7 linked regions of the Sus scrofa genome follow. The protein of the gene in region 1 interacts with the protein of each later gene in a pairwise test. Links are inferred from orthologs where the notes say so. Each region holds a gene or a part of one and is shown on either strand. Other genes may lie near its edges. The genes, in order: BEND7, EIF1AD, LYAR, NIF3L1, EAF2, C9H11orf57 and MFAP1.

The links.
Region 2: the proteins of BEND7 (region 1) and EIF1AD interact in binary tests that used the Homo sapiens proteins (3 or more experiments, as listed by UniProt). The two-hybrid records come from large-scale screens. The link is inferred for Sus scrofa from reciprocal best matches to the Homo sapiens genes BEND7 and EIF1AD.
Region 3: the proteins of BEND7 (region 1) and LYAR interact in binary tests that used the Homo sapiens proteins (3 or more experiments, as listed by UniProt). The two-hybrid records come from large-scale screens. The link is inferred for Sus scrofa from reciprocal best matches to the Homo sapiens genes BEND7 and LYAR.
Region 4: the proteins of BEND7 (region 1) and NIF3L1 interact in binary tests that used the Homo sapiens proteins (3 or more experiments, as listed by UniProt). The two-hybrid records come from large-scale screens. The link is inferred for Sus scrofa from reciprocal best matches to the Homo sapiens genes BEND7 and NIF3L1.
Region 5: the proteins of BEND7 (region 1) and EAF2 interact in binary tests that used the Homo sapiens proteins (3 or more experiments, as listed by UniProt). The two-hybrid records come from large-scale screens. The link is inferred for Sus scrofa from reciprocal best matches to the Homo sapiens genes BEND7 and EAF2.
Region 6: the proteins of BEND7 (region 1) and C9H11orf57 interact in binary tests that used the Homo sapiens proteins (3 or more experiments, as listed by UniProt). The two-hybrid records come from large-scale screens. The link is inferred for Sus scrofa from reciprocal best matches to the Homo sapiens genes BEND7 and NKAPD1.
Region 7: the proteins of BEND7 (region 1) and MFAP1 interact in binary tests that used the Homo sapiens proteins (3 or more experiments, as listed by UniProt). The two-hybrid records come from large-scale screens. The link is inferred for Sus scrofa from reciprocal best matches to the Homo sapiens genes BEND7 and MFAP1.

What each region holds. Positions count from the first base shown.
Region 1 is NC_010452.4:48,176,375-48,180,393, reverse strand, and holds the start of BEND7 (BEN domain-containing protein 7), read right to left. Parts: upstream 2,801-4,019; 5' UTR 2,490-2,800; intron 1,990-2,489; exon of another isoform or gene 1,678-1,989; 5' UTR 1,540-1,677; coding exon 1,479-1,539; intron 1-1,478.
Region 2 is NC_010444.4:6,333,544-6,337,681, reverse strand, and holds the start of EIF1AD (probable RNA-binding protein EIF1AD), read right to left. Parts: upstream 2,801-4,138; 5' UTR 1,974-2,800; intron 1,242-1,973; exon of another isoform or gene 1,218-1,241; 5' UTR 1,123-1,217; coding exon 1,036-1,122; intron 940-1,035; coding exon 831-939; intron 734-830; coding exon 625-733; intron 454-624; coding exon 403-453; intron 1-402. Other genes in the region: BANF1 (barrier-to-autointegration factor), read left to right, coding at 3,362-3,484, 3,705-3,851.
Region 3 is NC_010450.4:6,087,832-6,091,331, reverse strand, and holds part of LYAR (cell growth-regulating nucleolar protein), read right to left. Parts: coding exon 3,392-3,500; intron 149-3,391; coding exon 41-148; intron 1-40. UniProt on the Homo sapiens protein: Plays a role in the maintenance of the appropriate processing of 47S/45S pre-rRNA to 32S/30S pre-rRNAs and their subsequent processing to produce 18S and 28S rRNAs. Also acts at the level of transcription regulation.
Region 4 is NC_010457.5:104,597,301-104,600,800, reverse strand, and holds part of NIF3L1 (NIF3-like protein 1), read right to left. Parts: intron 2,914-3,500; coding exon 2,775-2,913; intron 717-2,774; coding exon 633-716; intron 1-632. UniProt on the Homo sapiens protein: May function as a transcriptional corepressor through its interaction with COPS2, negatively regulating the expression of genes involved in neuronal differentiation.
Region 5 is NC_010455.5:138,678,808-138,683,039, forward strand, and holds the start of EAF2 (ELL-associated factor 2), read right to left. Parts: upstream 2,801-4,232; 5' UTR 2,698-2,800; coding exon 2,592-2,697; intron 1-2,591. UniProt on the Homo sapiens protein: Acts as a transcriptional transactivator of TCEA1 elongation activity. Acts as a transcriptional transactivator of ELL and ELL2 elongation activities. Potent inducer of apoptosis in prostatic and non-prostatic cell lines.
Region 6 is NC_010451.4:39,774,367-39,778,378, reverse strand, and holds the start of C9H11orf57 (uncharacterized protein C11orf57 homolog), read right to left. Parts: upstream 2,801-4,012; 5' UTR 2,665-2,800; exon of another isoform or gene 2,108-2,664; intron 1,490-2,107; 5' UTR 1,482-1,489; coding exon 1,413-1,481; intron 1-1,412.
Region 7 is NC_010443.5:127,739,934-127,744,206, reverse strand, and holds the start of MFAP1 (microfibrillar-associated protein 1), read right to left. Parts: upstream 2,801-4,273; 5' UTR 2,600-2,800; coding exon 2,521-2,599; intron 1-2,520. UniProt on the Homo sapiens protein: Involved in pre-mRNA splicing as a component of the spliceosome.

The sequences.
Region 1 (4,019 bases):
ACAGCCATTTCCTTTTTTGGGCCTTAGACCTCACAGGACAAGGTCTACAAAACTACTGTCACTTTTGATAAAGTGGCAGATTCCCTGAGGTCATAAATAAGAAAGCAGCCAACACTCCAGAATGAATAAGAGAGACCAATAGGCCAGTCACATGTGGATCAACTTCTAAAGTACAAATGACTGAGTAATCAACACTTCTGGGGGGAAAAAATGTACATAAAGGGGAAAGCCAAACATTTTGAGTACATAAAACTATGTCAGGCCTTTTTCATTCAACAGTATCCAAAGTCGGAGGAAACAGAGAGAAGTAGGTCCTCAAGATGCCTATAATCAACCATTTTGAGACTAACCGAAAGCAGGCTTTATTGAATCTAAATCATAGTTAGCTCAGCTTAGCTGGAAATTGCAATTGCCCTCTAATTTTCATCAGCTTTCATGTGACTTCTCCAGGTTGTTACAACAATCGCCCTGCTCTCTACTCTGATGCCAATGCTAGATAAAACAACAGAGGAACAGAGTGGACAGGTTCCCTGGTTTGCTTTTGACTTCAAGCTGATTCAAAGAGGATATTTAAACAGGATCATCCCAAACTCAATATTAAGACTTGAGACATGACCCCGAGAAAAGGCTACCTGCTTCTAATTTAAGGTGACACGATCCATTGGATAGACCTATTTTTACGTCTGCCCTTAAGTTCTCCTTGTTTTTAAAAAGTCAAATCAGGAAAAATAAAGACTCTAACCAGTCACAGAACAGAGGCAGGACTATTCAACTTTCCCCTTCCCTGGAAACAAAAACAAAAACAAAAACAAAAAAACACCAAACCCCAAGCCCAGAAACTGTGGTATACACCTGTTAAATCGTCAGGGAACGGCTGGATTTTTTTTTTTTTTTTTTAATGATACTTATCCGACTGATAAGTGATCTATTCTAAAACCTTTCCAGCCCAAATCATGTATCCAGAAAAGATGCTGAACGTCAACAATTCTCATTTGGGCTTGGACACCTAATGAGCTTCTTTCTCGATCTTAAAAGAGCCACCATCACCTTTTTTTTTTGTCGTTCTCTCTGGGGGAGGAAAAAACAAACAAACCCCAAACCACCACAACCATTGGTCCGGATTGGTGTCCGAACGGCCTAATGGCAAGGCGTTCACCCCCCACCCCGCAGCCGAGCCACAAGAGTGGAATACCAAAGAAGGCTCTTCGCTCCCCAAGTGTCATTGTTTGCTAATTTCCTGATGTGCCCTCCGACTTGTTTACGCGGAATCATATCCTGCCTCCCCCCCCCCTCCCCGGCACAACTTTCCCCGCCGCCTGGCGGGTGCGGCCGCAGCCCCCTCGGGCGGGGACCCCCGGAGTGACCGCGCGGCCGCGGCGAGGGGCGAGGGGCCGGGGGCTGTTTACGCGGCGCCAGATCCTCCCTCCGCCGCCCGCACGCCCCCCGCCCGGGCCGGCTCGGCCCGGCCCGCCGCTTACCTCGGCTCACCAGTTTGAAGCTCTGCGATTTCCTGCTCCTCTTCCTCTCCGAGAACTCCATGGTGCCGCGGGCAGGCAGGGCAGGGGCTGCGGCCGGGGGCGGCCGGCCGGGCGGAGGGAGGGAGCGGCGGCCGAGGCGGCGGCGGCGGCGCTGGCTCTTGTCACCCGGCAGCGGGAGCGCGGGGACCAAGGTCCGTCTCTTGGATCCGCAGGGGGGAGGCACAGGCGAGGGAAAAACCACTCGAGCCCGCCCGGGGGCTGCGGCCGGCGGGGCTGGGTGGGAGGCGCTCTCCCGGGAGAAGTTGCCCCCTCCTGGCCGCCGCTCAGCGCGCCCCCCGAGCCCGGCTCATCCCCGGCTGCTGGGCGAGACGCCGCCGGAGCCGAACTTTCCGTTGGGGAGCGAGTTGGGGGCGGGGAGGGCGGGCCGGAGCTGCCGGCGCCCTGGGCGCTCGCCGCGGGCCGGCCTGGGCGCAGCTCCGGACGCGGCGGCGGCGGTGGCGGCGGCGAGCGCGGCCCCGGGGACGCGGCCGGCGGGCGGGCGGGCCGAGGGCGGCGGCGGCGGCGGGGTGCTAGCCGGGTCGGGGCGCTGACCGCCCCCGCGGGAGGAGGGGCGCTGCGAGGAGGCGGCGCCGCCGGGACCCCGGGGCCACCTGCTGGCAGAGCGCGGCCGCCGCCACCCACCGGCCTGGCCTCGCGGCGCCCCGAGGAGAAGCCGGAGGCCGCGGCGCAGCGCCCTCGGCCCGGCTGGCCGCCCTGCCAACCCCCGGGGACGGCGGGCCGTGCCCGGCGCGGGGGGTCGGCGAGTCGGGGCGCTGCTGTCGGGGGCTCGGCTCCCTGCCCGGAGCGTGCCCGCCGCTCCCCGGGGCGGATCTCGTTCTCAATAGCCCTGGGTGTCTGAGACCCTCGTGGCCAGCTCACTCCTCGCCTTGAGATTCAGGGTGTCGGAGGGCCAAACTCCCTGGTTTCAGGCAAGTTTGGGGGTGGGGGTGGGGAACCAAACCAAAAACTTACCCATCTGCGCTCTGCAAGGAGGAGAGGTTTTAGAATTTACGGATGAAGCCGAGTATGGAAAAGAGTAAGCTTCAGTTCTTTACCACCCCAGTACAGGAGGGTTGCAAGAAGATCGGGAGTTAGAGTCAAGGAGAGAACTTGGAATGTGGGGCTTGGGAGGGCGGAAGGGGTGAGCCGTGCGACGTCAGTGGGTGCAGGATCGCTCTGCTGACTCTGAGGGAAGAAATGGCCAAGGCAGGTGCCGAGGGCTCTGCCATTTCGTGTAAGAACTCCAGAATAATTGGCAGGAACGCAAAGCTTGTATTCGTTTTATATAATATTCTTTTCTAGGGAGCGAAGAGCGCACTATTGCTTCCTCACACCAACTTCATTGTGCGGATGGAAGAGAATTTTATACCACCTGGGAATGGTAGTACAGAAAGGTGATCTGACAAGCCTAAAAGTACTGCCGTCAAACTGATCATCTCTAGACCAAATACAAAGAGAGAAAAGAGATGGACGACCCATCTAGCCCTGTGACAAATTCAGGTGGCCTCAAAAGAGTACAGAAGAGTGAGGGGAAAGGGTATGTTGATAAATGTGGTAACAGGTTCCACCGTGAGTCTCATTCAAATGGGGGAGACAGCTTCTCAGGATCCACTCTTATTTAAGAGGGACAACTAGGAGGAAGGGGGAAGCGGGAGGCCACCTGCATAAATGCACCTGCACCAGGAAATCAAATTAAGGAACAAGTAACCCACCAAATACTGGAAGCAGAGCCTGGTACACCTTCTGAGGTCTTATGTTAGGTGGTATATATGCAGCAAGTGGGGAGGCTGTTTATATATCCCTGGCTTGGAGATGAGACAGAGGACTGTTCAAACCCTTAAATAAGAGGTTCTGAACCTATTGGGTCACTCTCTCCTCAGAGATTATATGCAGAGCTCAGGGCCTTTGCCCAGAAAACATGTGTAGGACAAACAAAATTTTGTGTAGATTTTTTTGTGTGTGTGTGTGAGTTCTAAAAGGTGGCAGAAAGAGTTAAAGGGATAACAAGGGTTAGTCACCTACCGAATTTGGTTCTCTACCATTTAATACCCCCTCCCCGCCTTAGAACCAAACACCCAAAGATGTTTTGAAGGTGTCTAAAGAAATAAAGAGTATGATTTTGTTCCCTGGGCTGGGACCCTTATTTCTTTCTCGTAATGCCTCTAAAAATATTATTCCAGAAGCCGCAAGGCTGAACACTATACTGATTGAGAAACATTGAGGATCGTTCATGCCTTGGAGCATAAAATGAGATTTTATTATGCTTAAGCTATGATGAAATCATTGAAGGTGCCATACTAAGAAGCAGATCCCTAGGGGGATTTTAACAACTTAGCATTTTCAGTTCAAGAGGGGATATGAATTCTATTTGCTGAAGAAAATATTTTTGATACAGTTATGAAGAAAATTTTTCATTGTAATAATGTTTTAAAATAATGGTCATTTTCCTTGACCCTTCTTCCTGGCTCAATATGAATGGTCTGTGTGCAATTTGGTCTACTG
Region 2 (4,138 bases), on another chromosome or scaffold:
AGAGTGACAACGCTGGATCCTTAACCTCCTGTACCACCAAGAAACTCCTAGAGCTACTAATTTTAATAATATCAACTCCAACTAACACTCAATGAACCCACGTTGCTTACCAGATAGTATACTAAGCACTTTTAGAACCAACAGCCTCTGTAATTCTTACAAAGCTCCCATTTTTACAGGCAATGACATCAGGCTTAAGAGATTAACCTGCTTAAAGTTACTCAGAACTGACAAAGCCAGGATTTGAAGAAGACATGACTTTCCAGCCATGTGCATAACCACATATGTAAAAGCGCTTGCCACGGCCCCTGCATAGGAAGGGAGGAAGGCTCTATTTTCCCTCAGGGCACCACAGCCAGAAGCCCCATTTTCTGGCTTCCTGCTCTGAGACTTGTGCCTCACCTGTTACTGTTATCATCGTGTTTCTCAGCCACTTCGGAGAAGGCCTGTGGCCTGTGCCAAGAGAAGAGCCAAGGTCAGAAAGGACAGAGAAACCTCTGGGCAAAAAAGCTATTTCCAGCTGATCCAGCCTGGGACACTGGGACCTCCCCTCCCCCCAATTCCAGTGCTAGGAAGTCGGTCCCTCAGAAGCCATGCAGCCAGTGACCAAGGGGCTCACCCTACCAGAGCCCTTCCTTCTGTAGAGCGCGCACATGATTTCTGCAGAGCACAAAGGAGATCTCGGCCTTCACTTTCTCTCCCTCTTCAATAGGGTCAACAATGAGAAAGTCCCCTACAGACAGAGAAAAGGAAAAGGGAAGTCAGCCCTGCTGGCAGAGAGGGAAGCCAAGGCTATCAGAATTGGTCTCCTAAAGGGCTGCCTCTCTCACCTCTCTTGATCCAGATGTTCTTGCGGTATTTGGAGGGCATGCTCACCAGGAAGTGCTGCCCCTGGGCTGTCTCCACCTCATGCAGATTGTTCCCTGGGGTCCTGAGCACCTGGTCCAGAAGAGACCAAGTACCAGTCAGCATTATCAGCCAGCTGCAACCCTTGCTGAGCTACAGTCACCCTGTCCCCACCCCAGTGCCACTCACCCTGACGATCTGCTGCCGGTCGGAGGGCACCATGTGCTCCCCCAGCACCTCCTTCACCACGTGCTTCCTCTTGGTGGCCTGAGACATGTTGTTGGGTCCTGTCCCAGGGTGGGGGTGAGGGATGCAGAGACTGTCAGCTCCTCTCCCTGAGTTTCTTGGATGGCAGTCTCAGAAGGACTATTCTAAAGATGGGGAGGGACCTTTTACTGGGGAGGACACAGTGTCAGGTTAAGGAGAACTACTTGCATTCAAATCCCACCTTGGGTATTTCATGACTGTTCAATTTCTCTAGACTTCAGAGAAAAACAATAGCTAACTTAGAGCACTGCTCTAAGAATGAGCATAAGCAAAGCACTTAGCACTGTAAAGCACGTAAAAACAACTCGTGTGACAAGAGTTCTCCTGTGGCATAGCAGGTTAAGGATCTGGCATTCTCACTGCAGGGGCTCAGGTTGCTGCTGTGGCACAGAATCAATCTCTGAGCCGGGAACTTCCATGTGCTGCAGGCACGGCCAAAACAAATAAACAAATTTAAAAATACAACGGTAAAAACTAAACACGGGTTTCAGGAAAACAAGTCATTCTGGCAACCAGGGGGAGAAAGAATCACATAAACTCTTCTTCGGTATGCCTGTACATCCCAAGCGTAGCACAGCCACACAAACAGATGCTCAATCTCTCAACATACCACAGACATGGACCAGGGAGAAGAATTCAAGTTAGGAACAAGTTAACTAAGGTCAGGGCCGGCCGACATGGTCTTTGGCATCTGCTGTTTATGATTTGGGTACTGAGAAGACGAGGACTGATGCGCACACAGAAGACGGCCGGTTTCCAAAGGAAACGCCGAAGTGTCATCTCTAGTTGCCGTCCCCTGCCTGCCCTCCTCCCTTCCTACCCCGAAGGAAAGACGCTCAGTGAGAGAAACCCAAACTTACTCTCTGGCCCTCGGATCCCACGGGCGATGCCTGAAGCGGAACGACCCCGTTCTCCAGGCTGGACGCTGAACACGTCTCGTCAACGACTCGCTTTGTAGCTGAGTCAACGAGCGCACAGAAAATGGACTTGCCGGCGGTCGCGCCGGTGAAGACCCCTTGGACTCAAGTCTCTTACAAGCCGGACGGCGAGGAAGACAGCACGCGCCGGCCCGAGGAAACCCCTTACTTCCGGCGCTCTCTCGGAAGCCTCCCAGCCACACCTCCCTCCTTGTCCGCTCCTCTAATTCTTCCCACCACCAAGTAGGCCACGTTTAATCCTTAAGTTCCAAATGTCGCGCCGCCGAGAAATAAAGTTTTCTCCTCCCAGGCCTCTGCTCCCTCAGACCGGAAATATTTCCCGAGCAGTGAGACCACAGAAAGCTGCCCGGCTTCCCGCAAAGCAACCGGAAAGGAGCGCCTCCTAAACGCACGCTGGCGCGCCGCCCCCTCAACCCCGGCCCAATCTCAACTCTATGACTTCACGCGGCTAGAGGTGCCCAATGTAATTTTGGGTTTTTTTTTAAGGCGGCTCTTGAGGCGACCCGGAAGCGGAAGTGGGGCGAAAGTTCTAGCGGGTCGAGGCATCCGCAGGAGCGGCCGGGTGGCGGGAGAGGCCGTTACGGGAACCGGAGCTGCGGGTGAGTGCGAGCCGCGGTGCAGGGCCCAAGCTGGAGACTGGCGGAGGCGCGGGGAAGAGAAGGGGAAAGGCGCCTCAAGCACTGCGGCGGGCCAGAGGATGCGCCCTCGGAGAGGGATCGGCCGGGGCGCGGCGCGCGAGCGCAGAGGCGCGGGGAGGGGGCGGGGCGCGGCGCGCTGGGGGCGGGGCCGGCGGCGTGGGGCGCGGCGGGAGCCCTGGCGTGCAGCCCGCCGGGCTGGAGAAGCCGCTTCGCTTCTGCTTTGTGATTAGCTGGCGGGCCGGGTGGGACAGAGTCCTTCATTTGCTTTACGGGCCAGGTAGCCGTTGCAGGCAGGGTCAGTGCCACTTGGGCCCAGCCAAGGTCACCGAGGAGTGACAATTTCAGGGCGAGCCCTGGGTCCTGACAGACTCTTGGAATCTTGACTCTGCTCTGCGTGCGCCACCTGTTAGAGCAAGATAGTGTTGCCTCTGGGGTGGTACCGAAACCAGCTCCTGCAAGGAGTGGAAGAGATTTCTCTTTTGAATAGTGAGGAAAAGACTCCTTAGGCTTCGCTTTTTTCGTCCGTGAAGTGGGGGGAGAAGCGAGTAAGCTTCTGCGATGACTGGTCGAGCGTCCTCTTAACTGTGAGATTGGTAGTGGGCCCTCAGGAGTTCCCGGGTTTTCAGCCCTAACCTGCCTTTTCTTGGGATTCTCAGGTTAAGCTTGATCAAGATGACAACTTCCCAAAAGCACCGAGATTTCGTGGCAGAGCCCATGGGGGAAAAGCCAGTGGGAAGCCTGGCCGGGATTGGTGACGTACTGGGCAAGAAGCTGGAGGAAAGGGGCTTTGACAAGGTGTGGGGTGGCTGCGTGCAGCTGGGGAGGGCTGAGGATGGCCTGCTGGGCTCTTTCCTGGCAGTTGGGGCGGGAGGAGAGTGAGTGGACCCGTTGGGGGTGGGCAGTGGCATGTATTCTGCAGGGCTAGCCAGAGCCGGCCCTGCTTCCTAGGCTGAGGGCCTCGTTCCTGGTCCGCAGAGCACCTAGCAGCATGCCCTTCCCTCTGCCTGTCTTGCAGGCCTATGTGGTCCTTGGCCAGTTTCTGGTGCTCAAGAAAGATGAAGACCTCTTCCGGGAATGGCTGAAGGACACGTGTGGCGCCAATGCCAAGCAGTCGCGGGACTGCTTCGGGTGCCTCCGGGAGTGGTGTGATGCCTTCTTGTGATGCCCTCCGGGGAGCCCCCGACCCCAAGCCCCAGCATTGAGTCTCCAGAGTTTGCAGCCAAGCCAGGACTCCTCCCCCATCCTCTACAAAGGAAAAGATTGCTGTTGTGTGCACTTCCAACGTACTCCAGCATCTTTTGGGAGTTCTCTCCCCTCACCATGTCACCTTTTTTGGAATTCTCACACTTGCATGCATCTCCCTTCTCCTTTCCTTGCCAGTTTCATGTCAGCAATTACCAGCTTTTCTGAGTGAATTCCTGGTCCTGGCCCTTACCCCTACCCTCACTT
Region 3 (3,500 bases), on another chromosome or scaffold:
CCACCCCTCCCCATTCAAGGGAGTCTTATCAAACACACACCTGAAATTTCGCCTTTTTCCTGGGAACGTTGTCAAAGCCACTGATTTGCTGTAAAAGTTCCTTCACTTTGGGGCTGACATTGGGTCTTTTTGTTAGTTCATTAATTTTCTACGGAAAAGGAAGATAAAAACAATATACAACTGACAGCTGAGTTTCATCAAAGTCAAACTCGAGGATTCACTCGTCCAACTCCAAATTTTGTATTAATGCCTATGTTTGCAAGCTCAATACAGTACTGACTGGAAGTCCAGACAAATTAGGCAAGAAATAAAGGCATTAGAAAGGAAGTAAATTTTTCTGTTTGCAGACAACATGGTCGTGTATGCTGAAAACCCAAACAATTCCACAAAAAGCATCTTCAGAGCCAATCGGCAAGTTCAGCAGTTGCAGGATACAAAATCCAACACTTAAAAATCAAGCTGCAGGGAGTTCCCATCATGGCTCAGCAGAAACAAATCTGACCTGTATCCATGAGGATGTGGGTTTGGTCCCTGGCCTTGCTGCTCAGTGGGTCGGGGATCTGGCATTACTGTGAGCTGTAGTGTAGGTCACAGATGTGGCTTGGATCCCGCGTTGCTGTGGCTGTGGTGTAGGCCGGCAGCAACAGCTCCAATTAGACCCCTAGCCTGGGAACCTCCATATGCCACGGTGAGGTCCTAAAAAGACAAAAAAATTAAATTAAATTTAAAAAAAAAAAAAGAAAAAAAGAAGGTCCCTTACGAGCCAACAAAAGGACAAATAATGCAGCCAAACAAACACAATGCAGGACAATGTCCCTGTATCAGGAAGAACTAAAGCTACAAGTAAACAGACCAGAAAAACTGATACAGGACACAAAAAAGTGTGAGGCAAAGCTTCTCCAGGTACCCAGGCCGAACAAGAAAATCAAGAGAATGAGATAAACACGAACAAGGAAGCAGTCAGGCTGGCTCAGCTCTGGCTGGATCCTCCTGCAGAACCAGAAGAGAAGAGCACTGGCCAGCCTGGGGGGGGGAGCACCATGATTCACGCTAAACAGGCCACTGCTCCCTGACCCACCATCCGCCCTCTGCGTGCAAAGCACCGAGACATCTGGAAGGATGCTCAGCGAACAGGAAGTAACACTGACAGGACCCCAAAACTCAATCCCCAAAGTTGAGGAGTTTAAGAATTTAAGGGAAAGAACTAACACCCAACCTCATCTCTGCTGGACAGAGAGGCCTCCCTTTCGCTCCCAGCACACCACATGCAGTCTCAGGCATGTGTTAGCCAGGCCAGCTAGGGAGCGGGTGGCGGGGGAACGGAGAGAGTGACAGGTGGACCAGGACAGAGCCCAGCGTAAAGTCCTCGATCTCTAACAGGTGGCACAGCTACTGAAGCCTGGCAGGGTAGGGTGAGGCTGGGCAAACCCTCTTTGTATAGACCTGAGGCTTTGCAAACCATTCAGTTTCTGTTCTGACTACCCAGTGCCATCCTGCAGCTCTAAAGGTGCCACCAGACACCATGGCTACAAGGGAGACGGATATGTGTCGTTACCTTACAAAGAGGTCAGGGGGCCGGACCTGACCCGGGGGCCAGGGTTTGCTGATCCCTGCTTTAGGGGATTTCACTCAAGATGCGATGTCAACAGAGATGGAACTCACTCACCGGGTACACACCTCAAGCTCAGGGGCCCAGGACGTCACCTGGTTCTTGGGGAGATGAGACATAAGGCCCCGAAGTGGGCGGGTGGCTGCTGGCCTAAATATCTTAGCTATTCAGTAGCGCCATCAGTCCTTAGTGAATAGGAGATTTTTCCCTCCCTGGAGTTTGCTAACTCAGTAAGCTAGTCCGAATCAGAAAATTCACCTTTGAACTCTAGCATCAAAGACAGTAACTGTGGTGTTTGGTTTGTTTGTTTGTTTTTTGCTTTTTAGGGCTGCACCCGAGGCATATGGAAGTTCCCAGGCTGGGGGTTGAATCGGAGCTGCAGCTGCCGGCCTACACCACAGCCACAGCCACAGAGGATCCAAGCCAGGTCTGCGACCTACTCCACAGCTCACGGATACGCGTCGGGTTCCTTTCCGTGGCGCCACAACAGGAGCTCCCCAGAGTAACCGCTTGATTTCCAGAAAAATACAGAATTTCTACACAGATAGCATTTGTCTTTTCATTCTCCTGCCTTCCCTTCTGAATCTTTCCTCCAGTTACTATTTTGTATATGGTAAGTAACATTCTGGAAGTTATACCTCTTAGTAAATCACGGATTTCATTGCTTTCGCCACTTTCACTGTATGTTTTCATTTTGTTTTAGAAATGGAAAATTCCTCATACTTAGGAAAAGTCTTTATGTTGCCGGATTCTGATGACTGTCAGACGTCCGGATTAACAGGGTTTGAGTGATAAAAGGTGCACCGCCATCAGACGCAGGTGCGGATTAAGAAGTGTCTGTTCCATTGCCAAGGGAAAGTTAGTGACAATTTGGAAACATTTTTGCAAGAAATCAGCAAAACGTGTGCAACAAAGACAAAATACACTGCACCTGTACTGAAAGAGGAATAAAGAACTCCATCCTGGGAGTTCCCATTGTGGCGCAGTGGAAATGAATCTGACTAGTATCCATGAGGACTCCGGTTCGATCCCTGGCCTTGCTCAGTGGGTTAAAGAGCCGGTGTTGCCGTGAGCTGTGGTGTAGGTCACAGACGTAGGCTTGGATCTGGCATCGCTGTGGCTGTGGTGTAGGCCGCCAGCTGCAGCTTGGATTCGACCCTAGCCTGGGAACTTCCATATGCCATGGGTTCAGCCCTAAAAAAACAAACAAACAAAAAAGAACTATCCTGAGGCATGATACACGGATGATAAATTATAGTTGATTTGCAATGTTGTGCCAACTTCTGCTGTACAGCAAAGTGATCCAGTCACACATATACATACATTCCTTTTTTCTTTTTTTTTGTCTTTTTGCCTTTTCTGGGGCCGCTCCAGCGGCATATGGAGGCTCCCAGACTAGGGGTCTAATCAGAGCTGTAGCTGCCGGCCTACGCCGGAGCCACAGTAACTCGGGATCTGAGCCGTGTCTGTGACCCACACCACAGCTCATGGCAACGCCGGATCCTTAACCCACTGAGCAAGGCCAGGGATCGAACCCGCAACCTCATGGTTCCTAGTCAGATTCGTTAACCGCTGAGCCACAATGGGAACTCAATACATTCCTTTTCTTATATCATCTTCCATCAGGGTCTATCCCAAGCGACTGGATATAGTTCCCTGTGCTATGCAGGAGGACCTCATTGCTTATCCATTCTAAATGATACATTTTTCCTCATTTCTTAGGCTTCCAAGGAAAGTAGAAGATGACAGATGAAGCTACTTGAGGCATTAGAAAGACCTTACCTGAAGCCACGCCTGCTGCTTAGCGTCGCCTTTGTGGGTTTTGCCTTCATACCCTTTGCCGCCATACTTCTGATCTTCACTTATGCATTTCACATGGTTTTTGTAGTCG
Region 4 (3,500 bases), on another chromosome or scaffold:
ACAAGGTTTACCATTAACAAGTGTCCCATTAACTTACACATGAAATCTGAGAGAAATAAAAAAAAAAAAAAAAAAAAAAAAAAAAAAAAGGATTTCCTGTCGTGGCACAGCAGAAACGAATCCGACTAGGAACCATGAGGTTTTGGGTTTGATCCCTGGCCTTGCTCAGTGGGTTAAGGATCCGGCATTGCCAAGAGCTATGGTGTAGGTCACAGATGCGGCTCGGATCTGGTGTTGCTGTGGCTCTGGCGGAGGCCGGCGGCCACAGCTCTGATTAGACCACCTAGCCTGGGAACCTCCATATGCCATGGGTGTCTTTTTTTAAAAAGACAAAAAAAGAAAAAGAAACCTGAGGGAAATCATGTTCAAGGAATAAGACAGGTTAAATAAGTGCGGGACATCAGTTTTTTAGATAATCTAATTGTTAAATGATTTTTTTTCCCTTCCACAAAGAATATGGTATATCCCCAATTTTGGTATAGTTCCTATTTAGCTCAAGTTCAAAAAACATTTATTAGATCAATTTTTATGTCAGGTGCTGACCTAAATTTTTTTTAACTTATAAAAAATAAACTAAAGTTGGAAAGGGATGCAGAAGAAAAGGATAGAAAAAAGATCCAAGGCCATCCTACCTGTGAGGTAAAGGTCAGCCTCTGTGCCTTGCAGGACGCTGCTCCCAGAGCCAGCACACAGGGCCACGACTTTGACAGGGGACTCTTCAAGAGAAAGGAAACAAGAGGCCAATACTTTACAATTCCCCTGCATTTTAACATAATTTATAACAAGAATCCTAAATGTCACGCAGATTTCACTCCCAGTCTCATCACCAGTACATGAATTTTGTTTACTAAGTTTTAAACAATAATACATTTGTCTTCATATAGGCAAACAGACTATTGGTACTGCAGAGCTAACCCAAGGCAGGGTTTTTATTCCTTCGGACACACAGTGCTGCACAAGCCCACAGAAGGCAGATTTGAATCGTATTGATCACTATTTGCACCAGGCTTCAGGCTTTATTGCAATGCTGCTCAGTAAAGCAACCTCACCTGGGTCTCCAGGTAACAGTGGGAGGCAGTTCCCAGGTGAAGAAGCTGATAAACTAAAGGGGCTAGTTAGAGAATGCTACTAATGAGTCTGACAGACATTTTTTTGGTCTTTTGTCATTTTAGGGCCGCACTTGTGTCATATGGAGGTTCCCAGGCTAGGGGTCTAATCGGAGCTATAGCTGCCAGCCTATACCACAGCCACAGCAACGCCAGATCTGAGCCGTATCTGTGACCTACACCACAGCTCAGGGCAATGCGGGATCCTTAACCCACTGAGTGAGGCCAGGGACTGAACCCACAACTTCGTGGTTCCTAGTTGGATTCATTTCTGCTGTGCCACAACGGGAACTCCTGTACTTGTCTTTAAAAAGCATCCACTGAGGAGTAAAATACAAATGTTCAAGCCAAAATCCAGCAAGTGTTTAGAACTTAGGTTTATAGAATGGATGCTTCATTAGTGGTATTTCAAGAAGGGCACTAGAGCTGGTCAGAAGGCCAATCCCATTGCTGCCATCCATCTTTGGAAACAAACTCTCATGACTTGTTTGATCCAACTTTGGACCTTGGATAAGTTACTTATCTCTCCGAACCTCAATTTTCTCACCTATGCAGTGGGAATAATAACACCTATCCAATAGCTAACAATAGCTAGACTTTAATTAATGTGTGCCAGGAGTTCCCATCGTGGTTCAGTGGTTAACGAATCCAACTAGGAACCATGAGGTTGCGGGTTCGATCCCTGCCCTTGCTCAGTGGGTTAACGATCCCGTGGTGCTGTGAGTTGTGGTGTAGGTTGCAGACGTGGCTCGGATCCCACATTGCTGTGGCTGTGGTGTAGGCCGGCAGCTACAGCTCCAATTTGAACCCTAGCCTGGGAACCTCCATATGCCGTGGGAGCGGCCTAAGAAATGGCAAAAAGACAAAAAAAAAAGAAAAAAAAATTGTGTGCCAGTCATGTGCCCTGTCACATGGATGATGCCACCACTTCGATGAACTATGTTTTATGATTACTGAAGTTTTAGAGATGAGGTTACTAGGACACAGAGAGGTTAAATAACCTATCAAAGTCATGCAGCAGACAGAACAAACGTGAATCCAAGGCCTTTAGATTCCACAATCACAACAACAGCACTCTGCTCACCACCACCAAAGTGGGAACCCTTGGGGCAGTGCTGGGCTCACTTCAAGGGTCCAACATCTGTTCTGTCTGTCCCTTTTGTTCCCCAAAGTACTGGGAAAAGCCAAGAGAAAGAGCAGAGACTAAGAGACTTAGCAGCACCTCACTACAAAATGACACTGGTACTATGAAATTTAAGATTTGCATTGTAATTAGAGCAATCACAATTTCCAGCTTTCTTCCAGGGCATTCTCTTCCTGGGTTAGGTCAGGCAATGTGACTAACTCTGGATAGTAAACTGAACAGAATATGTCTAATTTCCAGGCTAGAATGTTTAACTGAGATGGTTGAAAATCCTCCCTTTGCAACAGTGACCAGTCTACAACAAATAGACTTCCCCTACTGATCTGAAATGAATGTGAAGTGTGACTGAGAAACGAATCTTGTTTAGGCCAGTGAGATGTATACGGCGGCATGACCTCGGCCACTCTGACTGATAGAGTAAACCAGCCATCTCCTGCGAACACAGTTTTCTATCATTTACACTGACCGAGCTGGGAATTTCAATTTTTGCACATTATCGATAGGTATAGTGGAGACATAAGTACCTCGGGTCTTCCCTACTCCGAGAGCAAGGCGAACATGAGACAGTTTTAGGTGCTTTTTGATGCGCTCGATCATGGTTTCCAAGGAGACGGATTCATCCAGTGTGCATAACCGTCCCATTCCAGTATGCAGAAGCAGAGGCTAACGAGAAACAGAAATCAGAACAACTGTCCATTATCAGTCTTAGACAACAAATCTACAGACAAATAGCAAATGCTAAGGTCACTAAAACAAGCGTACTGTGAGCTTACTATAGCCAACTCCAGGCTAAAATTTTGTGGGATGCAAACCTGACAAAGACATTCTAGGAGCACACAGTCTCTTGGAAAGACAGCTGATTAAACAATCATAATAAAAGTGTGTTTAAATACAAAACATGTTACGGTTCTTATGGGAGCACAAAGGAATGACAAATCATTTGAGACTTACAGAGGTGGGTGCTTGGAGCAAGTGGAGCCCAATAAGGTTTTACAAGGACTTGGATCTTAAAGACAGGCCAGAAAGTGGTTTAAAAAGGAGTGATGTTAGGCCTGGTCACTGACGTCCAGATCATTTTTATACGCTTATCTTTTATATTTCTCTACAAGTACTATTTCAAAGCCTATTCCATTTTCTCACTTTTCACAATGCCCTACCTTGCCCTATCAGTTTATATAAGGCTATCATTCTTTTTACATGGTCACTGGACGGATGTACTGGATTTCATCAGTGCCCTCGTTAAGGCATTT
Region 5 (4,232 bases), on another chromosome or scaffold:
GAATGAAAGCTGGAACCATTATGTAAAATTGCTACTGAAAAAACTGTATTTTTCACATATCTATCAATTTAGGGGCATTTCATAATTTTAATAAAAAACGATACACTGGTTGAATTTATTGCTTCATTATAGATAAATGAGCTCAGCAACTTAAAGTGAATTGTCTAAAGCTACAAAGTAAATAGAAAAGTTGAAATTAATATATGTATTTGTGTTCTACTTCATTATGAAGCTTAAACATGAATATATTTTTAAACAATAGAAACAAGTTATTTTTCAATCTTCGTGAGGAAAAATATATCTTTATATGTAATGCTGACAATTAAAATAAAAATAAACTTTTGTTTGCAATTAGAAATGTACACTTTTTTAAAAATAAAAAACTAATTAGGTTCACCTGCCCTGTATGAAAGTCAGATCTACCATCCCTCACTCTGAGTCCATAAGAGTCAGGATCATATGGTAAAATGAACCTAATCTCAAGGACAATGACTGGTTTTATTTTAATAAATCTAGAAAGGTTCTGTCTATTTCAAAAAGAAGACTAAAACTAAGGGTTGAAAACCTTTCTAATGTCTGCCACAGGACTAGAAGTGTGTTCAAACATCTAGGTTTAGTGTGGTTATTGTTGTTGTTTTGTTTATTTTCATTCTTGTAATTGGATCATCCAATTCTCTAATTCTGAAGATACAATTCCACCATTTGGGAAATTTTTGTAAATAAAAGGCTTGAAGCACCTATAAAGTGTTTTTCAAAGGCTGTTTGTTATTTATTTATTTGGGGGCTCACCCTTAAAAAGAGACCTTATACCCAAGTTATATGAAAAAATATTCTCAAGCAAATTTGTATAATCTAAAACCTTGTAGTTAAAAAAAAAAAAAAAAACTAATACTAAGACTAATGCATACCTGAGAAAGAAGAGGAAAGGAGAGGGAAGATATTATGTGAGAGAAAGGCATGGAGAAACCAGATAAGAACTATATCATACTTTTGGAAAATGGGACTGAAGCAGAGAAACTGCACAGCTGTCTCACTGTGGTAAGCCTTGGACCACAAATTATGATAAAGAATAAACAAGGTACACAAAGATCTGTCTGCACATATCTCCTCTGTTTACTCTATCAATTGGATATTAATTCTGCTTAATAAAACCCCTCTTAAAAATGTAAATATAGCCTTAGAGAGTTAAACCTATTGGTTCTTCAAACCTTTACTGTGAGTTAGTAATAATTAGATTGTGTATAACTTAAGTAAACTTGGAAAACGTGAGTTTTAATTGAGTGTTCTAATTGAAACATGAAACACTTCAGAAAAAAACAGCACAACAACAACAAAGATCTCTGAACAGTCTAAAGACAGAATGAGAAAGGTGGAGGGATGAGACTAAGGAAGGGCAGGGCTAGGAAGAGGAAGTGAAAAAATACCTACTTTACAATTTTGCCACAGAAAAATAAGAGGTTTATGGTTCGATGATCTCAAAGTTTCCTTCCCACTCTGTAATTCTATGAGGACTATTATGTAAAGAATGAATGTTTTACATACCAAATCATAATATACTATCTTTTCCTTTCTGGAATCTAAACCATCCAACTATTAAAGTAAAAGAGCTCCAATTTCTACCTCAACAACATGAAAGAGAAGTATATCAAAACTACTTCCCCAGGACAAACAAAAGGAGAAATCATAAGCAGTAAATGTCTTTCTAGTATATTAATAACACACCCTTCAAAACTTTGATAGTATTTGAAAACTGATTGAATGAAATTGGGGGTCCAAAAGAGACACAGATTATTAGAATGATCCAGAATCTCTCTCCAGGAACACACTAAATAACACCCTCATCAGTCAGAGACATCAAAAATGAAGACAGGAAAGAACATTTCCCCACCAACCTCAAGGCATTCACCTCCTCCTGCATAATAATAGTTCGGCCCTTGCCCTCTCCATTTGTCACCTTATTACAGTTGTCGCTAGAATAACACGGGTCTGAACTGCGCAGGTCCAGTTATACGTGGGTTTTTTTTCAATAAATAGTTTATATTTTCATCTTCAGATCTTTAACGTAGTGTGGGGAAATGCTTGTGTCTGATTAGAGATCACAACACAGGTAATTAAAAGAACTAGGTTAAGAGTCCTGATTCTACCCAAAAGGTTTCAGCTTCTTAGGTGAGTCCGGTATCAATTCCTTCGTTTTTGAGGCAGAGATAGGAATACGTGGATATTGCACTGCTTGGGGTCGACGCCCCTATTCCCTGCTTTGTTCAAGGGTCTACTGAATTTTCCTTTCCACCTCTGCATGATCCGCCAGTTACGTCTCTCTCCATCCATAGTCACCCCGCAGCCTTTCTCCACAAGTGGCCCTTCCTACCTGTTGGTCTCACTTAAATCTCTCTGCCCAGAATTACCCACACCTGCTCCACCCAGGTGCTTGCACCGACCCTTCCGGACTCGGGGTATGGCAGTGGACTGCGCTGGGCACCCCATTCTCCCGCAGAGTCAGCAGTCTGTGCGAACACGACTTGGAGAGGGTTGTTCTTTCGCACCCCCATACCCAGAGCTTCCCCCTTTCCCCCGGGGTCGTCCTCACTCACAGCGCACAGTGTGGAAGGCGCAGCGCGGCTGCTTCTCAAAACTCTCGCCTAACTTGAGAACCCGCTCGCGGCTGTCAATACGCGAGGGTCTCCCTGCTCCATTCATTATTCTCCTCGGTCTCTGAACTGCCTCCGCCAGCAGCGCTCACCACCAGCTGCCAACTCAGCCTGAAACATCTGCACTTGCAGCCGCCTACGCAGCCAAAAAAGACTCCGCCCCGCGCCCGGGGAGCGTGGCCCCCACAGGATGCCTCTCGCGTGTTGATTGGCTGCCGCCTTAGGAGTGCCCGCCCCTTGGCCCCGAGGCTCCGGGTCCCGCAGCCGAGCCCCTCCCCCTTCTCACGTTGGGACGCACGCAGCCCCGGGAGGCTATGGTTCTGAGGTACACGGCAGGAGCTGTGTGCTGCTGAGGAGGAACGCGAAACGGAGCGAGGTAGCCTACGTGAGGCGGCGGCTAGGGAAGGAGAATGTCCAGGGTGCCGGGAGGCCTGGACTCCAAGCTTATGGGCCAAGTGACCCGACTTGCAGGAGCTCTAAAAGGAGAATCGGCCTGCTCCACGCCTTTCTGTGGAGATCTGGTGTGGAAACTGAGGCGGGGGAGGGGCGGAACCTGGACTCCAGGCGCGGCGTCGTGCCCGAGGCCTGGTAGCGCCGAAGCTGGATCTAGAATCCTGAGTAAAGGAACCAGTGCCCACCGAGCCGTGGTCCTTGGATCTGACTGGAGGCGACGCCGTTACCTCAGCAAGAGTTTTCTGACCTTATGTTCCAGAGCAGGGTCCCAATGGTCAGGTCCCAGAGGGGAGTAGGAGTTGGGGGTTGGAGGGAGTGGAAAAAGAGTTCAGAGTTAGGAACTACAGATATTTAGGATCCCCTGCGGCTGGTTTGCATTTGGTTGCCTTCGTTTATTTTCTTCACAGTGATGCGTGCAGGCAGTAACGACACGGCCCCCACGAAAGACAAGATTCCCAAAAGATCAGGGCCAGAGCTTTTGCTCTGGCTACAGGGTGATAACATTAATAATTGAAAAATAATTTGTCTTTTTTTTTTTTTTTAATCTGTCAAAAGTTCGTGAGTTTAAGGGTAGAGATGAGAGAAGTGCTGTATGAGAAGAGAAACACTCAAGAGAAAGTTTACAAATGGTTGCCATAACACTGGTGGTTTTTCAGGGTAATTGTATAATCAGACTACTCTTTAGTTAACTTATTCCTTTGCCAAATTTATTATTCCAGGCAAGTAGATAAATGTGTCCCCCTCAACCTATCTGCTTGTGTAAATTATACTCTTTTAAGCATACTAAAGCTGTTTCCTGTGGTAGTTAAGCACCTGAGTTCTGGAGCCAGAATCTTTTATGAGTTTGAACCTCAGCTTCATGCTCTACATTGTGACCTTGTGCAAACCAAAGTAAGTATGTTTGTCATTAAAATTAGGGGAAGAGGTAGTACTTACACCTTAGAGTTGTTGAGAGGATTAAATTAGTTAATGCCTGAAAGCATTTTAAACAATTCATGGCATCCAGTAAACGTTCTCCAAATGGTTATTGTTTTTGAGACTTTACTGTCATGCAACGCTTTAGGACCATTCTTGGTGGCTGCCTTCTCTTCCAAATTTTGAATTACTCTAGGAGGTAGGAATTATTATTTT
Region 6 (4,012 bases), on another chromosome or scaffold:
AGAATATATATGAATACACTTATCTAAAACTGAACACTGATGTACATCAGAAACTGACACAACATTGTAGCTCAATGATACTTTTAAAAATTTCTTAAATTTTTAAATTTTTTTAAAAAATTAAAGAAGTTCCCATTGTGGCTCAGTGGCTTAAGAACCATACATAGTGTCCATGAGGATGCAAGGTTTTTTCTTTTTTTTTTTTTTGTATTTTCTAGGGCTGCACCCACAGCAAATGGAGGTTCCCAGGCTAGGGGCTCTAATCGGAGCTACAGCTGCCAGCCTATGCCACAGCCACAGCAACTTGGGATCCAAGCCACGTCTGCGACCTACACCACAGCTCATGGCAACACCAGATCCTTAAGTCACTGAGTGAAGCCAGGGATCGAACCGCAACCTCATAGTTCCCAGTCGAATTCGTTAATCAGAGCCACAACGGGAACTCTGAGGATGAAAGTTTGATCCCTGGCCTTGTTCAGTGGGTTGAGGATCCAGTGCTGCTATGGCAGCGTAGGCCAGCAGCTGCAGCTCCATCTGACCCCTAGCCCAGGAAATTCCACATGGCACAGTTGTGGCAGTAAAAAGAAAAAGACATTTTTATGGAGTTCCTGTCGTGTCTCACTGGTTAACAAATCAGACTAGCAACCATGAGGTTGCAAGTTCGATCCCTGGCCTTGCTCAGTGGGTTAAGGATATGGCATTGCCGTGAGCTGTGGTGTAGGTTGCAGACACAGCTTGGATCCCGCTTTGCTGTAGCTCTGGCATAGGCAGGCAGCTACAGCTCCGATTCAACCCCTAGCCTGGGAACCTCCATATGTGGCGGGAGCGGCCCAAGAAATGGCAAAAACACACAAAAAAAGAAAAGAAAAAGACATTTTAAAAAAAAATTCTCATAACAAATTAAAACAAACACAAAAAATGTGATGGTTTCTTTTCTGCCTCGAGGAAAAAGTCTAATCTCTAAGCACCAAAATCTAACTGTAATTTACCACTCAGACCTCATCTTCTGCCATCCCCCCCCCGCCCCTGGTCCCCCTTCTCTTCTCTCTGGATACATACAATCTCTTGCCCCAAGTTCTTTACGCTCCTTGTATATGCTAGTGCATGACTTTCCCTCTGCCCTGAATAATGTTTTCCACCTGGTACACTAGAGCCTGCTCATCAAGAACCAGTTCAAATATCAGAAGCTCAAATACCACCCATTCTATGAAGCCTTTCCTAATTCCCCAAGGCAGATTTCATTATTCCTTCCTCAGTGCATGAAAGCACTTTGTATATGTCTCCATTATACTTATCAAATTATATTCTAATTCTATTTGATTTATCATGTATCTCCCAACTGTACCAAAATAATTTACGGCACACTGTATGCCCTCATTAAGCAAGAGGAATCACAAGGTTGGACCTCTCACCTTATTGTGAGCATCTGTGTGCCGGATGACATTCCTCAGGAGGACTTTCCCCAAGGGAACTCGGGACATTCTTCAATCTGAAATGAATCGATAAGTAACTTTTAATAATAATTCACTATGTTACCTTATTTTTATTACTGTGTTTTAATAAAGCATGAGTTAAAGGGAAAATCACTGAAGTCACAGGTCGTGCAGAATAGTTTTTCCTTCACCACTAAAGGGGAAAACACCTGACCACACCAATGTGAGGACGAAAGGAGGTAATGACCACTGGAGTTCTTTCAAACTGCACAAATTAAGTGCTTTGAGGAACATCATTTAATTCTCAAAGTAATTGTTTTAGATGAGGCAGGTATCTTCATTCCTATTTCGTAGGTGAAATTCTCTTAAAGCTATAACTTGCCCCAGGCCACATATTCCAAGGCAAACGAGGTCTAGATTAGAAACCAGTTTTTGAATCCCAAAATTAGTCTGCAATTAAGTAAATACCTAGATTTGAGAATGTCAGCGAAACAAATGTCAACAGTAACAAAAATTGACGTCTAAAAACATCGAATGCCGAGATGCCCTAAATTTCTCCATTCAAGGGTATCTTATATTCTACTTTGGACAGAAACCTCCAAAAAACAGAGGACAGGGATATTCACGTGTGTAGCCAGCAAGGGCTTTGTGCAACCACCCCACCGCTCACTCACCCCTTGATCCTGAGGAAATCAGGCATCTTGTTAGTGTGAGACGAAGAACCACTCCATTACAAGATCTCCTCCGACCCAGGAAGCCAAGGAGTCAGGGCTCAAAGGCAGCTCTGCAGCTTCACCCGAGTCCTTCGTGAAAACGCAGCCTTCCCACCGGTTATTCCGCCCTCACCCGTGGGCCTCGCCACCGCCGCCTCTCCCCAGCCCAGGCCGACAGGCAGATTTTTCTCCGGACTGAGGCCGGAGGCTGCTCTGGCTCGGAATCCGGACGGCCAAGTTGGCTAGCGCACTCCCCGCTCACGCTCCTCTGGGACGGCCCCGAGGTTGGGTTCCGCCTTCCCAAAAGGATGGGGACGCTTTGGCCGGGGACGCCCCTCGACTGGGCCCCAAAAAGTACCTAGAGTGGCTGAAGAGGGGATTGAGGCTTCCAAGTGGAAGACACAGAAAATACCCCCATCTTCGTCACCGGCACCCCTGCCCCCCAGCGGCCGCGGAGCTCCCGGTAACCTTCCCTCCAAACACCCTCCCCACAGAAACACACACAAACACACCCATACCGTGCGCCGCAGCCTCGCGTGACGGGGGCAGGGGGAGGAAGGGATCTGGGGGAGAAGGAAGCCGACTTCCTTTTCAGGCCGGAAGTCGTGCCCCTAAGAAATTCTTCCCACCAACAGGAGTCACAGAGACTCCCACAGGAGGGTTTCCAGGACACTGTAGAGGTCAACAGGTGCAGAAAGGGAGGTGAGCGCCCTCCTGGAAAAGAAGTGGGTCGGGCTCAGCCAGAAAGCAAGCCCAGCACCAGAAGGAGAAGATTCCGGAACTAGGTGTAAAAAGAACTTTCTGCCTGGAGCTTCCCGGACCCAATTAGATGTTGTACCAAGATGGTTACCCCGGTAACAGGCGTCGCGGTTTGTCAGGAAACCAAGAGAGGAGGTGGGTTTGCCGACCTCTGGAAAGACAGTTACATTTCCCTTTTAGTCTAACCTTCCTGTAGTGTTCAGGCAACCCAAACTTACTCTTTTCCTCATTCTGTCGATGCTATGGGACACGTCTCCATTGAGGGGAAGGAGGAGGGAGGAAGGTTACCTCAAGTCATGGAGAGAATATTACTATTCTTATGTAAGGCTTAGCAAGTGTTCAGCCTCTCTGTGTTACCTTACTTAATCCTCACGATAACCCTACGAGATAGGTATTATTGTCTTCATTTAGAGGGGAATAAACTGATACATGTATGTAAATTAAATGCTCAAATCACACAGCTAGTAAGTGATGGATAGAGCTAAAACTGGAATTCTATGCATTCTGTCTGCAGAGTCCATGCTGTTAACTACTAGATTATACCAAAGATTGAGGAAGTCTTGTGTAGCCTTCAATCCACAGCACACCTCTAGCAAATAAAGGAACTGGATAGGCACCACTTAGCTAATACCAGGATACTGGAACAAGAAAATTCCAGGAAATCCAAACTTTAAAAGATTACTCTGTCCCCTTAGGGTTTTTGAGGCTCTAGACAGAGGTAAGGCCTTATTATCTGAGGGAACATCTTGAGAATGTAGGAAGTGGTACTAGATAATTAGAGAATAAGGAAAAGATAAAATGGTGCTGAGCCACAGTCTTTTAGACACAGGTATTAAGGATAGTTGCTAACTTCAACAAAACAATTCCTGACGTATTCCTCCTCCCCCCAAAAATAAATGAATCAGTAGACCTTTTTTCCCTCAAATGTCTTTCCACAGATTTAAGAGGCCTAATTCATCTCAATCATGGAGAAATCCTCAAAAGGTCTGCTCACCCAAGTTACTCAACTCTGGAACCTTCTAGATGATCTGGCTGAAAGTAACCCTGAGAGCTATGAGAAGTTCATTCAACAGCAGCTGAAAGAGGGGAAACAGCTCTGTGCGGCCC
Region 7 (4,273 bases), on another chromosome or scaffold:
AACCAACCAACCAAAAAAATGACCTTAACAGATACCTCACCAAAGAAGTTATACATATGGCAAATAAGCATAACTTGCAGTGGGTACGGCAAAACAATGGAGTAGTTGGGGCAACTGGCTAGCCCTGAGGTAAATACTAAAATTAGATCTATAATGGATGCCACACACACACACAATTCCAGATAAGCTAAATACTCATGCACGAAAAACACATCTTAAACATTTACATCCCTGCTGGACTGTAAGCTCCTTAACTTATAGTCTGTCTTAGACAACTGTGTAATCCTTCCTATTCAGAATATACAAACACTTAGATAACCAAAAATCTTTTTTTTTTTTTGGTCTTTTTAGGGCGGCACTCAAGGAAATGTGGAGGTTTCCAGGCCAGGGGTTGAATCAGAGCTGCAGCTGCTGGCTACACCACAGTCACAGCAACACGGGATCTGAGCTGCATCTGGGATCAACACCACAGCTCACAGCAATGACAGATCCTTAACCCACTGAGCGGGGTCAGGGATCAAACCCGAGTCCTCATGGATTCTGGTTGGGTAAGTTACTCAAAAGACTTTTTTTTTTTTTTTTAAATTGGGAAGGGGAACTCAAAAGACTTTTTTTTTTTTTTTTTTTTTTTTTTAAATTGGGACGTTCCTGGGCCAGGGACTGAAACTGGGCCACAGCTGGGATCAGAGCCACAGCCAAGATAATACTGGATCCTTAACCTACTGAGCCACCAGGAAACTCCAAGGATTTCTTAAACAGTATACTAAACACCACAAAACATAAAAGACAAAATTGTTAAATCTGTCAACAATAAAACTAAAAACACCTGTGTGACAGAAGACTCCATAATTAAAAGACAAGCCAAAAAACTCTGGGAAATAGATATTAAAGTTTGGGGGAGTTCCCATTGTGGCACAGTGGCTAACGAATCTGACTCGGAACCATGAGGTTTCAGGTTCGATCCCTGGCCTTGCTCAGTAGGTTAAGGATCCGGCATTGCCGTGAGCTGTGGTGTAGGTCGCAGACGCGGCTCAGATCCCTAGTTGCAGTGGCTGTGGCATAGGCCGGCGGCTACAGCTCCTATTGGACCCCTAGCTGGGAACCTCCATGTGCCACAGGAGTGGCCCTAGAAAAGGCAAAAAGACAAAAAAAAAAAAAAAAAAAAAAAAAAAAAAAAAAGATTTGGGATGTGTCAGAACAAACTAAATAGAAAATGGGTAATTGAAAGAGATAATTCATAGAAGACAACACCTAGAGAGATGATAAACACACAAACAAGATGCCTAGTAATCCTGGACTCAGGAAATTGCAAATTAAAATAACGTGCTATTGTTTCACACCCATTAGATCGGGCAAATAAAAAAAATCTCATACAACCAAGATTGTGGGTAATATAACAGGAAATAAAAACTTTCAATGCTCTTACAATCCACTGTGGAGAGCAAATGGCAATAGGTAGTTAATTGATGAAGAACTTCTAGGAGTCTACCCTAAAATTCTTAAGGCAGTGCACTAAAGAATGATAACTGCAGCGCTGTGTGTAAGAGGAAAAAAAGTAACAAAACAGCTAATTGTCCCTCAGCAGGGAACAAACTCCATATAATAGACCTCATAAGCAGTTAAATTAATAAGATCTCCATGTATCCAAAGGCACTTATCAAAAAACCACAGAGTTTAAGGAAAAAAAAAAAAAAAGGCAGGTTACACAAGGATAAGTACCTTATATTTAAAAAACAGGAAAGAAGTGATATTATTTTCCAAATATCTTACTGAAAAAACTCTTGACTTTTCAGTCTGACTCCCTAAACAGGTACAGTGTTGCTTCATCCATCTGCACTCACTGGAATCAAACCTATCCTTTAAAGATCAACTTGAGTACCCCAGTCTGAAGAGATTATTCAAAGCGCTTGGTTTACATCACCTATGTAACAGTATTAGGGGTGCGAAAGACTGCACACTTGCTTAGAATAGGTCTCTTTTTGCATGAATCACGTCTACTATGAGTTCCTTAAGGTTAGGGGTACTGTCTCTGTATTAAATTTAACAAATACAGTCACTGCGTTGGTTGAAAGGGATTAAAAAGTTTAATAAGAGAGGGTTCCTGCCTTGAGGAATCTATGAGTTTATGATGCAGTAGAGAGAGATGGACACATAATTACAGTAAGAGTTATAAAAGCATAAACAGATTATGGATAACAAAACTGGGATTGTATCCCGCACAACGCCTTCCAAACAGCAAGCGTTCACTTTATTTATTACTCTAGTTTATTGGTGGAGGCCAAGGGAAGAGGATGCTTGCTGTAGGAGTGAACCGACAGGCTCTAGGAACAAGATGAGGTGGAAATAGTGTGGGTGTTTTTTTCCCTTCTAGGCAACGCGATTGGATGCGAGTTTGATGGCGAAAGAAATAGGGGGCAAGGTCTTAAGGATCGCTGGGGCTGAGGTGGTGGGCCCGGGGTCGGTTTGGAATATGCTAGGGAAACAAGTAAGATCCGACTGGAAAACAGCTCAACACAGTACCTTTCTCATTGCGAACCGGGACGGCCCCAGCCGTAGACTGAATAGGCGGTTGTTTCATGAGTGCGCTTGGGACCGACATTTTGATGGCAGCGGCGGTGATTCCAAAACTTGACTGATTCCAAACTGTGAACAGGTACAACGTCAACGAACAGAAAATCCTCCGCACCAGAGGCCACTGGACACTGCTGCGTACTGATAGAAACACCACTTACGGCTGAGCTAGAAAAACAGGAAATGTACGACTAGAGGATTGTGGGATTGTGGAGGACGTCAGGGAGCCAAAGTCCGTGGAGTCTGTTACTGCGCATGCTCATAAACTCCCTGTCGACCTTAGTCTCGCGGTATTTGGACGCCACTTCTGGCGGGAAATGGCTCTCTGGACTTTGCGGTTAAGACTCTGAGGTCCGCGGAAGACCCGAATTAAAGGTTTCGCTGATTAGGTTCGTTTGAAGCCGAGGAAAATGGCAAAGTGATGAAGAAGAAACCGAGGAGTTAGAGAAGGACAGTGTGTTCAGATTGTTGAAAGCTAAGAATTAGAGTTAAATCGAAATAGAAATCCTGCTAATAGCACCTGATTTTCTCACTTGATGAGACCGAGCGGTTTGTAGTGCGATATTTTTGGGTTACGTCAGGGCAAGTGGTGCTAATTTAGACCAGTGGCAGGAAAAAAAAATCCCCTAAACGGCTTAGAACAATGCCTGAAATCCAAACACTCTTAGGCGTTTCAGTTCTTTCCTTTCTAGAGACTGCCTATTAAAACATATTCTTGGCTGGAATGGTTGTATATGAAAGTCCATAAGTAATTATTAAGCACTTGCTGTATTTACCTCGTTTAGCTCTAAGGAGTATGGAGCATTGTTAAAAGGCTTATGTCTTCCAAATACTTGAATTTTATTTAGGAAGTCTTCAAGGGCTTTTACAGTAATATCAGAAACAATCCCAATTTACTTGCTGGGCTGTGTAAAAAACATAGGCTAATTGAAAGTCAAAACACATTCAGTGTAGAAAGGATTTTATAACTGCTGTGGTGGGGAGGGAAGGGACACATGAGCAAAGTCTTGAAGTACAGAAATTGCATGGTATATATATTAGACACTATGAAAAGTTTGATTTTATCAGTAATTTTTCATTTGAGGAGTGTGAAAGTTCCTGAAGGGCTTTGAAGGATTCGTTCTAAAATTATTTCATCTGTGTTCTAAAATTGGGCTTAGGCTGGGAGAAATACAATTGAGCAAATCTCCATTAAGGAACAATGGATGACTCAAGTAAGCCATCAAAGGAGCAATTTTGAGCTGGAAAGAAAAGGACTGTAAAAATAGAGCAAATAGAAATTTGTATTATAATTTTATCAGCTTCAAAACCGTGCTATTCAGAAGGAGTAAATCTGATGGGAAGGCAGTTAGTTGTTTCTGCTCACGGACATCTAGAGAATAGAAAAAAAAGTTTGATATGACTGTAACTCTTAAATGCAGTGCCCTAAAGTCTTACATTTGGTGCTTTTGTGATACAGAAGCTATTGAGAACTTTCTCCCAGTGTTGGGGCTTTGTAAGGTCATTACTAGAATCCTAACTGGTGGGCAAAATTTAAACCAGCTTAGTTAACTTGTGGGTGAAATTAAACCAGCTTGTTATTGGCTCTTGAAAAAATATCAAAATGCTTCCTTTCCTAGGGAGAAGATAATAAGGTAGCCATAGGGCATAGTTTTCTGGTGGTGGGGTTACAAGGAACTAGGAGTCAAGGTAAAAGGCTGCA